3 linked regions of the Daphnia pulex genome follow. The protein of the gene in region 1 purifies or fractionates together with the protein of each later gene. This does not show direct contact. Links are inferred from orthologs where the notes say so. Each region holds a gene or a part of one and is shown in the gene's direction. Other genes may lie near its edges.

Region 1 (3,753 bases):
TCGACTGACATGATAAGGAAAAATCCTAAAATGCATGTGAATTCAGCAACAGGAAAATCAGTTGTTATATTAAGGTCTGCAAGCACTTTCCTCGTCTTGTCTTGCGCATAAGGAAGTAGTCCTAGAAAGCACATTGCGATGAAGACTCCACCAGCCATGGAATTACAGAATGAAATTATTCTTTCTGTACCACGACTAAAGTTGCAGTCCTTGGTAGATTTCTTGGCTACAATGCAGACTGGAATCAAAGCACAAATTGCCATAACAATGTACACAATCAAAGCAGTGACAACCAGCAGTACTTGGCTATCCATGTTGACTGCCACTATGCTTGGATGTGTCTGATGGACTGATGCAACTGTTTACTCTTTTAGAATTTTTCGTTTAGTAATTTTCAGCGTTCGCACAGGCCAGATGCCACTGACTCTACTCACTGTCCCTTCGCGTTATTATAAAACTCAAAACTACTTGAGACAAGGGCACTTACTGCGCCTTGAGCGAAATATTAACTCGAGCTCGGTCAACACCCTCTGTCGGTCGATTTGTATTTATTTTTATTTTTTTTGTGCTTTACATCTTCTGCTCGTTTTCTTACTTCATGCTAGAAGGAACCTACGACAGGTTCTACAATAATGCTACAATAATTAATTCACCTACCTGAAAGGTATATGCAGGGTGATTTTATTCCTTCCTGGCAGAAGTTATGCAATGTTTCACTTAAAAAGTAAAATTCCAGACACACGATCAAAACGAAGTCAATGTCACAATACTGGCAGAGCAGACAGAATGTTCGTATACAATTAACATCCTTGGTTGCCTTCTTCGAGCAAAAATTCGGAAATTGAAAAATACATATTAGCTAGAAGCTAGCTAAAAAATATTTTTCAACACAATTTTGCAAACATGAAAAATTATGTTTTTTATTCATAGCATCACTCCGAAAATTCATTCCATTGAAAATTTGAAACATTTTGAAACTCTATGTTTTCGCTTATTCATCGACATGGCAACCTCTAAATAATTTAGACAGAAAAATAGACACGGCCATCTTTCAGTGGAAAATTTGTCTTTTTCGTTGAATAGATAAAAGAAATCGTCGAAGAGTACATTTCAAGGGCGTTTCGGTAAAGAGAGTGATCTTTGCACAAGCATCATGACAATTCTGCCGAAAAAGAAGTCATCTCAATCACGGTCGGAATCCGAAAGTAATACTGATGGATCTCCCCTACAACACCTCTCAGTTGGGAGCAATAATCACCTTTCACACATTGGACCAGTACCACAGGTAAAAAAATTATTTTTATAAATATACCCCAGTATTTAAACAGCCTTTGGAAGAAATTATGGCTGGAAGTTTCAGTGCATCTTCTAATTGACATCTGAAACAACCACACAAAATGGCCGGTCCAGCTACAACCAGTACTTATGTACAAGAAGCAAATGGTGCTTTGTTCATTACACCCTTGCCATTTAGGCAGTGCTCAATGAATAAAAGCAAATAGTATTGATAACTATTATTGACAAAGATGACAAAAAGTCAGCATTGTTGATTCTTATTAAAATGTATTTTACATAAATTTTACAGGTAGCAGAAACTTGCAGTGTGTCTAGGCTGTCTGGAAGAACATCATCAAGCCATCCCCACAGCCACGGACACAGCAGCCAGTCATCATCTCGCTATGAAGATTATGACCTGGAGAGTGGTCCTAGTCAAACAAAAAGAAGAATGAGAGTCAGTCCCCATAGGTATTTAATCTCAGTTATTATTTTGTTGCATTGAAATTTGACAGGCATATTTTTTTTTTATTTAGAGCTGTCCGCCCCAAGCACAGAGATAGGAATTCATCAACCTCTGCCATACCTAGTACTAGTTCAGCCATGCACAGTGTTGCCTCTTCATCCAGCTCAGGAAGTTCTCCCACACCAAGCCATACAGTACCAGATCCTTCTTCCCATGAAGATGAATCAGGAAGTGGATATAACAGTGGAGATGAATATGGACCTGCAAGATCTTCATCTTCTAATGTCCCCATTTCTGAAGAAGAATGGGAACAGGTATGTTTCCTAAGACAGAAGTGTTATTCATAGAACTCCATCAATGCCAATATGATTATTAGAAGGAAAGATGGTTTGAGAAAAAGATGCGGAAACGAGGTTTTATTATTAAGCGGATGGGTGAAGACGGAGCCTGCTTGTTTCGTGCCGTTTCTGATCAAATCTACGGTGATCAAGAAATGCACTCAATGGTTCGCAAACATTGTATGGACTATATTGTAAGTAATTGTCCTGTTGTATTTTTATGAATTTGAAACATTACGTCTATATTTATATTTGTCATAAAAGGACGCAAACGGAGACTACTTTTCACAGTATATGACTGAAGACTTTGCCGCCTATGTGAGTAGAAAAAGATTGGAAAATGTACATGGCAATCACATTGAGATGCAGGCTATGAGCGAAATGTACAACAGACATATTGAAGTATTTTGCTACAGCGTCGGTAAGCCCTTATCATTTCGATAAAATTCGCTAAATAGAAGGCTTACTTAAATTTAACCCATTACAGAGCCGATCAATATTTTCCATGGTAAACATCAGACTGATGACGAACCTATTCGATTGTCTTATCATCGTGGAGTGCACTACAACAGTTTGGTTGATCCGTACAAAGCCACTGTGGGAGTAGGACTGGGATTGCCAGGATTTGTCCCTGGTCAAGCAGACAAGAAATTAATGGGTGATGCCATGCGACAAAGTGAAGAGACCTTAATTGAAAAAGCCATGTTAGAAGATAAAGTTAAAGCCACAGATTGGGAGGCAACAAATGAAGCTATTGAAGAGCAAGTTGCCCGTGAAAGTTACCTCGACTGGCTTAGAGAAAACGAGCGACGCAGTCGACAGCAGCAACGGTCCGGTCATTCGGCAACCACTTCCTCGAATGCCTGCGAGCTCCGTTCCCCAAGAACAACAGCAACGACGTCCTCTTCAGCTCGTAATTCGCCCAAACCATCTTTTGTTGAACACCAGCGGAAGTCTCCAAATGCTTCACCGAGAGCGTCCACTTCACGCAGCGCCACAACCTCTAGTAGTCGTGAAGGTGCATCAACTAGCCCTATCGCGTCACCGGCCGCTGGTACTTCAAGTTCAAACCCAGTGAACACCAGTAAACCCGATTGGGGATTGGGGCCAGGCTTTGAATTGGCTGAAACGGCTTCATTCCTGGGACAGTTGCCTCCTGACATGTTTGGTAACTGACGTTTATATCAACAGATATTTTCAGTTTAATTTTATGCTTTAAAATTGGCTAAAGGTTTAGCAGACTGGGAGGATGCTGGACTTTTGGCTCAAGTGCTGGCTGCATCGCAACAAGAGTATCTGGACAAGTTGAAAAAGAGCAGGGAAGCCATCGACCCTCACGACGACGAGACGATGGATAACACCAAACAGCAGCAAGAGGAGCAGCCGGTTGAACAGAGCAGTCGCGACAGTATGACGACAGATCCAACCAACGACCTGACCAGTGCGAACGGGACTAACAATAGTTAACCCAGACTCCTCAGTTGTTTTGTCTACGTGTTAGCTTTCCTTTTTTTTTCCCCCCGTCAGTGGCAGGGAGCTCAAGAGGCGTGTATCAGGGGAGGAGTCAGAAGAAAGTCCTTTCCATGCAAAATTGTTAATCTTTGATTCTCGGTCTAAATTTAGACTCGCAATGACGTCTGACTGACACAATTGGATTGAACTTGCCTGTACCCC
Region 2 (3,753 bases), on another chromosome or scaffold:
AATTGATTTGCACACATTTTTTGTCGTCTCTTTCTAATGCTTTGAACGATTACTTCCCATTTTTAGCTTTCAGACAAAGACTTGCCTAGAAAAACAACCAAATTAGCTGGCAAATTGGTAAAGAACAGTGTTCAGTTGGTTTTGTTGAGCTATTTAGATTACTTTACTGGCGGAATAACACCTACACTACGGAAGACGGTGACAGCGAAACACGGTTAATCAAAAATGTATAATTGTTTTGTTATTTACATTTAAAGTAACAACCCTGCTAAAATACTATGTCAACCATGAAACTGTTCATCTACAAAAGAATGAAAATTTACAAAAATCGAGGTATATTTTTTCCATGTGAAAAGTAACACAAGTCTCTTTCTCTCCCGTTTGGGAATCCCGTTACAAAAATGAAAATCTCTCTAAGTCTATGTCTCACTCAATGTACACTGAATTCACTTAACGTTTGTCCTGAAAATGCACGTGTCTCTGATCCAACAAATTTTACTTTATAACATTCTGAATTCCACATTTTCTAAAATTTTCATTTGGAAAAAGTCAGTAGATGCTAAATGGTTTGTGTAAAACAATCATAATCGAATATATGCATAAAAAATCTAAAAAAAAATTTGATTACGTTTGCGTTGAAGTAGTAATCGACACCAAAGATGTGTTTCAGACAGCCACTAGGCTAGCTAATGAGCTTTTGTCAAGAAATCATTGCTCCTTTTTATGCCTTTGAAAGTTGGAGCTAAAATCAGCATTGCCATGTTTGATAATTTTTTTAAGATTCGAGGAAAGTAGTAAATAAGTCGATAAGTGTTTTAAAATTTCATATAATTTAATTTAATAAAATTTAATGTTGATGTATAATATTACAAATGCTTTAAAAAAGAATGTAAAGCGAACAATCAATTCAAAACCGTTTCCATGGATACCACCGGCGTTGAACGGGAAGGATAGGAAACTCAACGCACTGTAAAAAGCAAATCATGGCGGTAATATATACACGTGTTATAATTCTTTATTTTGGATAAAATGGCTAATTTTTCCGTTTCCCTTGTGTGCTTTTTTTATTTCTGGACCATATCGTTTCATTTTTTAGGCGATCCCATCAGTTAAAGTAGCAGAAGTGCGAGAATTCTCTCGAATTGAACGAATCGGTACTCACTCTCACATTCGAGGTCTTGGACTTGATGATGCTTTGGAACCAAGAGAAGTACTTTTGAATAATTTGAATAAAAGAATCGTACAAGTTACATATCAAAATGATTGTTAGGTGTCCCAAGGCATGGTTGGCCAGTTGACAGCACGACGAGCTGCTGGTGTGGTACTGGAAATGATTAGAGAAGGAAAAATTGCGGGGAGAGCAGTATTGATTGCTGGACAGCCAGGAACAGGTTAACATTGTCTTTGAATCTGCAATAAACATCCCATTATTTGGTTTATAACACTTTGGTTTACTTTTTAGGCAAAACTGCAATTGCCATGGGTATGGCACAGGCTCTCGGGGACAACACACCTTTCACATCCATGGCCGGATCGGAAATCTACAGCCTTGAAATGAGCAAAACTGAAGCTCTAACTCAAGCATTTCGAAAATCTATTGGAGTTCGAATCAAGTAGATGTGAACTCAAAATTTGTTCAACCTAGAAATCTTGTAACCTTATTTTTCATTTGTTTTCAACAGAGAAGAAACTGAGATCATTGAGGGTGAGGTTGTTGAAGTTCAAATTGATAGACCTGCTACCGGAACTGGTGCTAAAGTTGGAAAGCTGACATTAAAGACAACAGACATGGAAACTGTGTACGATTTGGGCAACAAAATGATTGAATCCCTCATCAAGGAAAAGGTGTGTAATTTGTTTGACAAAAGTGTTTCAATTTTGTATACATATCTTTGTGTGGTTCAGGCCCAAGCTGGAGACGTCATTACCATCGACAAAGCCACTGGCAAGATCTCGAAACTCGGACGATCGTTCACTAGGGCTAGGGATTACGACGCAACTGGACCGCAAACCAGATTTGTTCAGTGTCCCGAAGGTATATTATTTAAATTCCAGTTTTGGTCAAGTGGTTTACGACGACGACGACGACATCGTACGATATTCTTACACCACTCCTATTCTATTTACGTAGGCGAATTACAAAAGCGGAAAGAAGTGACTCACACAGTCACCTTGCACGAGATTGACGTAATCAATAGCAGAACTCAGGGTTTTCTCGCCCTCTTCTCTGGTGAGCTCACATACATTTTTAATTTCCCGACCTTGAAAGTTTACAAAATTAAATCTCTTGTTTTGCATTCAATAGGGGATACTGGTGAAATCAAATCCGAAGTCCGGGACCAGATCAATAGCAAAGTCGCCGAATGGCGCGAAGAGGGCAAAGCGGAAATCGTCCCGGGAGTTTTATTTATTGATGAAGTTTGTGATTAAATCTTCATACCATTCTCCTTCCTGCATATATTTATTCGTACCGTCATGTCTCGACGTAGGTGCACATGCTAGACATGGAATGTTTTTCATTTTTGAATCGTGCTCTGGAAGATGATATGGCGCCAGTGTTGATTATGGCCACTAATCGTGGAATTACTAAAATTCGCGGAACCAAATATCGGAGTCCCCACGGCATCCCAATTGATTTGCTTGATCGGATGGTGATCATTGCCACGCAGCCGTACGTGGAAAAGGAAATGAAGCAAATTCTGAAAATCCGGTAAAATTATCATTTCAATTATTTGATGCGTTGGCTTTGCCTTAATTGATATTTTCTTTGCACAGGTGCGAAGAGGAAGACGCCGAGATGACGGAAGATGCTCTACTCGTTTTGACGAGGCTTTCCTTGGAAACTAGCTTACGCTATGCCATTCAGCTCATCACGGTTGCTAATCTCATAGCTCGCAAACGAAAGGCCATGGAGGTTGGTATTCAGACTGTATTCAGACAGCACGTTATTAATCATTTGCTTTATGCTCTTATCTAAATAGATTGCCGTAGAAGATATTAAAAAGGCGTACACGCTATTCCTGGATGAAACCCGTTCCACCCAGTATCTGAAGGACATTCAAGATGAATTCATGTTTAACGAAGAGGACGAACCAAGTAAGTACCTGAATCATTACGTCTGAGATTTTCTTTTGTGTATTCATTGAAAAATAACATTTTTACAGAATCTGACGTCGCCATGGAGACATCATAACTTAACTCAAAATTCCATTTTGAATGAAAAAGCTTTTTTTTTCCACATTTGTATCGTCTATCAAATAATCCCGTCAAAATAAAAAAGACGCCAAAAAAACAAACAACTACACTCACACGTACTGTTTAAACTGTTTTTCTTCCCGCCTCGTAATAATTGTGTACACCCGAAAAGAAGACAAAAAATACAAAAACACTTTCGGTCAAGCTGCTAGTTTCGGTTGATAGGTGGCTCTGAATGTCCTAAACTCGTCGCTTATTTGCGTCCGTTTGTTACGACTTTTGTGTAAGTAATTTTTACCACGAAAAAGAAGGGGAGGGTAGAAAAAGAAGTTACCACCATGTATAACCCGCCAACACCCGAGCCCTCGAGAGGTGCACCAATCAGAGACGCATCACCTGGTGAGGTAAAGGCGTCGCTCCCGAACCCTCAGTCGTCCGTGAGTGCACCCGCAATAATTTCGTGTCAAATCCGTCGCAAGTCAAGCCAGCGAAAAGGGAAATCAGCACACACACAGCAGCAGAAGAGGAGGCGAAAAAAGACTTTTTCGGCAACGCCGC
Region 3 (3,753 bases), on another chromosome or scaffold:
ACATTCAAAGGTTTTAAATTCGTAAGTAGTACCGTTGCGAAATAAAATGTTCCGGGCCGAAATACTTGACGTCCTATAAAACTCATAGCACTCTCAGGAAATATCACGTGTAGGTGCAGATGTTTAATAGAATTAAAAGGAGGCCAATGAAATCCCATTCTACAATTTAGTTGAAATCATTACTACCAATTTTTTATGAGGGTAAGAATCCATATGATACCTGCAATCACTCAAGTCTCCTCCATGATTCTTCACAAGTTGCTGTCCTACAGCTACCATTTCTTCAACTAATAAAAAAATATTGATAAGTTTATTTGAATTGATAATCAGGCAATTTACCCATGCTGACTGTTTCTATGGTAAGACTTTTAATATCATTGATGTGATCTCTAGGAATGACTAGAAGGTGGTTTTTAGCAGATGGTTTGATGTCATTAAAAGCCAAATATTTTACATCCTATTTATGAAAGGAAATACAGCATTAGGAAATGTATATCTTTATCTTATTAAGTACCTTATTTTAATATATCTAAGCCATTTCTTACTGTGATTTTCAGGTAATAGCTAGTCTACATTAGATTAATTGATTCCCTGGAAGAAAATAAACCTATTTGCTACAAAACGCATAATTTAATTGGTCAAAAATGAGAGAGGAAGAGCCTTAACCTGATGAACGATAGTTGCTGGCGCCAGACCTTCACAAATCTGGCAAAAAATGCATTTGATGGACTTTTGTACTGAAACCATTTTTAGGGAATTGTACTGTTTGTTTGTTTGTTTGTTTTTTTTTGAAGATAGGTGCACTGGCCGATTGTACTGTTTAGTTCAGTCATACGTAAAAATATTGACACTGACTGAGGGAATGGACTTTTCGCGTAGTCTGCAATTCTGTAAGGATGCCAAATTCCGAAAAGCAACAAGTTGTTTGTCATGATTTCGAATTCGAAGTATTCACTTAGATTCATGCAGTAGGACATAAATATCCTGTAGCATAAAAATCTTAAAAAAAATAAAAAAATATGCATATTTCCAGAGCTATAGAATCCCTGGTCGGTTCTCGGCTGTGTTGGCTTCCCTATCCCGGTTTCAGGGTAAACGTGGTCCGATTTGGAAACTGGAATGAGCGCTCTAGTGAGTGTGTCAGCTACTACGCTCAGCTACTTTTGAGAGCCTAGATGGCTCTGTTTCTAGTTTCCAATGACAGGCCCCGCCCTAAAACCCCCTGAAAATCGGACCACGTTTACCCTAAAATCGAGATGGGGAAGCCAACACGGCCGAGAACCGACCAGGTATCTATTGCTCTGATATTTCTGAAAAATCAATGGATAATATTATTATTAAAATCATAGTTGGCAACGCCCAGGTCTTTATGAACTTCATTCTGCTTTTTAGAGGGAAAAGCATGGGTTGCGTTGGGTAAACGGTCTGGCAGTTTTTTGTAACGAACCTCAGTACAATTTCGCCATTCCAGATTCGTAGTTTCAAGTTGAAATATTGCAGTTTCCCATTCGACTTGGATGATCCCATTTGTTACTGAAAATGGGAAGTCTCGCTGCAGATAGAGAGGTGTTCTTTCGAAGGATAAAGCGATTCTATTCGTCTTGGAAGGTAAGTTGGCGTCAAACAACCATGACAGTTGGATTTCATTTCATGCAATGATATAATATCTTATAGAATGAAGACTCTGAACTTGGGTTTGCTGATATGGATGCATTGGTCACAGCTTTGGGGGCGGATGAGGAAGTTGTGTACAGCAAAACATCTGCTTTACAATCATGGCTTCTTGGATATGAATTGACTGATACAGTTATGGCTCTGTGTGAAGATTCCATCTATTTCCTTGCAAGTAAGAAGAAGATAGATTTCTTACGCCCGCTGGAGGCAATTAAAGAAGAGAAAGGCTTGCCCGCTGTTAAGCTGTTGATTCGTGACAAAGTAAATCATGATACATATTTTCCATGTTAGAAACATGGAACTTCAACAAAGAAATTTTTCTATTTTTTTAGAGCGACAAAGATAAAGCCAATTTTGTGAAACTTATTGAAGCATTGAAAAAATCTAAAAAAGGAAAAAAGCTTGGAGTGTTCTCAAAAGACAGTTTTCATGGAGAGTTCATGGATGCATGGAACAATGCCATCAAGAAAGAAAAATTTGAGTAAGAAACATTAGAAAGTGTTATTAGAAATATATAGATAACAATGTGTGAAATCATATTTTCAGGACAGTTGATGTTAGTTCTGGGGCAGCTTATATGATGGCTCCTAAAGAAGAATCTGAACTGAATGTGATCAAGAAAGCATGTCAAGTATCTGTTGATTTATTCAACAAATATTTAAAAGAACAGGTTATGGAAATTGTAGATGCAGATAAAAAGGTTTGAAAAATTTATTATTTTTTTTTCAATGGGACTTAATTTGAATTTATTTGTCAAGGTCAAACATTCAAAATTAGCCGAAGGAGTGGAGAACGCAGCCACTGACAAGAAATATGTTTCTGGTGTCGATACGGGTCAAGTTGATATGTGTTATCCAGCCATAATTCAAAGTGGAGGGAATTACAGCCTGAAATTTAGTGCAGTGAGGTACATCTATCAATTAGCAAACTTTATGTGAATACATTAATGCTTCTTTTTATTTCACAGTGATGATAAACCCCTTCATTTTGGAGCAATTGTTTGTCTTTTAGGAGCACGTTACAAATCTTACTGCTCCAATATTGGTCGAACCCTTCTTGTCAACCCCACTGAAAAGATGCAGGTAAAGAAAAAGATATTTCCATAAATGAGTCTAGATTACATTCTTATGAACTTGTAGGAGACATACAACTTCTTGTTATCGGTTGAAGACGAAATTTTGAAATCTCTCGTCGAAGGAGCAAAGTTTAGCGATGTTTATAATGCTGCTGAGGCATACGTAAAGAAAGAAAAACCAGCCCTTCTTGACAAGATGACAAAAACCCTTGGCTTTGTTACCGGAATTGAATTTCGAGAAAGCTCTTTGGTGATCGGCCCGAAGAATAACGCAGTTGTCAAAAAAGGAATGGTCTTCAATGTCAATCTTGGATTTGCTGACTTGGAAAATTCTGATGGCACCGATGATCGCTATAAGAAATATGTATTTATATAAATTAATAATATTTATTTATTTATTTGTTTATTTAAATATATATTATTTTATTTTTAAAATATTAGGCTTTGTTTTTGAGCGACACTGTTATTGTATCCGATGTAAGTTATAATTTTGAACTTTTTCTTCTACTTGTTTTTTTGACGAGTAACATTATTTTTAGGGTCCAGCTACTATACTTACTGCTTCGAAAAAAAGGATTAAGAATATCGGTATATTCCTTAAAGATGAATCTGGAGAGGAAGAAGAGGAGGAGGAAGAGGACGAAGAAAAGCCATCACGACAGCCCCAGAATTTAGGTCGAGGCAAGCGGACCGCTATTCTTGATTCTAAACTTCGGGTACATAGTACTTTTCTTCTTATCATTTTCCATTGTTATAATTTATAATTTGTGTTTCTTTCAGGAAACATCTACCGAAGAAAAACGTAAGCAACATCAAAAAGAATTGGCTTCTCATCTAAATGAAGAAGCCAAACTTCGGCTTGCTCAGCAGAAGGTAAAGAAGACAAAAAGAAAATAAATGTGCAAAAGAATAACATTAAAATCTGATTTGGTTTTAGGGACGCTTGGAAGGCGATAAGATCCGGAAATCTACCGTGTCATACAAATCCGGGAAAGATTTGCCAA

The links.
Region 2: the proteins of OTU domain-containing protein 5-B-like (region 1) and ruvB-like 2 purify together in Homo sapiens (affinity purification with mass spectrometry, with the first as the bait; 3 studies listed by BioGRID). This does not show direct contact. The link is inferred for Daphnia pulex from reciprocal best matches to the Homo sapiens genes OTUD5 and RUVBL2.
Region 3: the proteins of OTU domain-containing protein 5-B-like (region 1) and FACT complex subunit spt16-like purify together in Homo sapiens (affinity purification with mass spectrometry; 3 studies listed by BioGRID, with this or other methods). This does not show direct contact. The link is inferred for Daphnia pulex from reciprocal best matches to the Homo sapiens genes OTUD5 and SUPT16H.

The regions. Positions count from the first base shown.
Region 1 is NC_060018.1:2,564,280-2,568,032, reverse strand, and holds the start of OTU domain-containing protein 5-B-like, read left to right. Parts: upstream 1-1,002; 5' UTR 1,003-1,153; coding exon 1,154-1,285; intron 1,286-1,585; coding exon 1,586-1,746; intron 1,747-1,811; coding exon 1,812-2,055; intron 2,056-2,117; coding exon 2,118-2,273; intron 2,274-2,343; coding exon 2,344-2,500; intron 2,501-2,566; coding exon 2,567-3,247; intron 3,248-3,310; coding exon 3,311-3,546; 3' UTR 3,547-3,753. Other genes in the region: zinc transporter ZIP1-like, read right to left, coding at 1-314. UniProt on the Homo sapiens protein: Deubiquitinating enzyme that functions as a negative regulator of the innate immune system. Has peptidase activity towards 'Lys-48'- and 'Lys-63'-linked polyubiquitin chains. Can also cleave 'Lys-11'-linked ubiquitin chains (in vitro).
Region 2 is NC_060021.1:8,103,623-8,107,375, reverse strand, and holds ruvB-like 2, read left to right. Parts: upstream 1-887; 5' UTR 888-983; coding exon 984-989; intron 990-1,096; coding exon 1,097-1,210; exon of another isoform or gene 1,211-1,270; coding exon 1,271-1,391; exon of another isoform or gene 1,392-1,410; intron 1,411-1,462; coding exon 1,463-1,613; exon of another isoform or gene 1,614-1,652; intron 1,653-1,682; coding exon 1,683-1,845; intron 1,846-1,905; coding exon 1,906-2,035; intron 2,036-2,131; coding exon 2,132-2,230; intron 2,231-2,305; coding exon 2,306-2,418; intron 2,419-2,489; coding exon 2,490-2,710; intron 2,711-2,775; coding exon 2,776-2,914; intron 2,915-2,981; coding exon 2,982-3,096; intron 3,097-3,164; coding exon 3,165-3,193; 3' UTR 3,194-3,399; downstream 3,400-3,753. Other genes in the region: uncharacterized protein LOC124194162, read left to right, coding at 67-219. UniProt on the Homo sapiens protein: Possesses single-stranded DNA-stimulated ATPase and ATP-dependent DNA helicase (5' to 3') activity; hexamerization is thought to be critical for ATP hydrolysis and adjacent subunits in the ring-like structure contribute to the ATPase activity.
Region 3 is NC_060017.1:5,830,583-5,834,335, forward strand, and holds the start of FACT complex subunit spt16-like, read left to right. Parts: upstream 1-1,281; 5' UTR 1,282-1,539; coding exon 1,540-1,608; intron 1,609-1,674; coding exon 1,675-1,935; intron 1,936-2,006; coding exon 2,007-2,155; intron 2,156-2,220; coding exon 2,221-2,374; intron 2,375-2,432; coding exon 2,433-2,581; intron 2,582-2,641; coding exon 2,642-2,756; intron 2,757-2,813; coding exon 2,814-3,113; intron 3,114-3,190; coding exon 3,191-3,226; intron 3,227-3,288; coding exon 3,289-3,465; intron 3,466-3,529; coding exon 3,530-3,622; intron 3,623-3,686; coding exon 3,687-3,753. Other genes in the region: adenosine 5'-monophosphoramidase HINT3-like, read right to left, coding at 33-159, 221-287, 340-457, 667-747. UniProt on the Homo sapiens protein: Component of the FACT complex, a general chromatin factor that acts to reorganize nucleosomes. The FACT complex is involved in multiple processes that require DNA as a template such as mRNA elongation, DNA replication and DNA repair.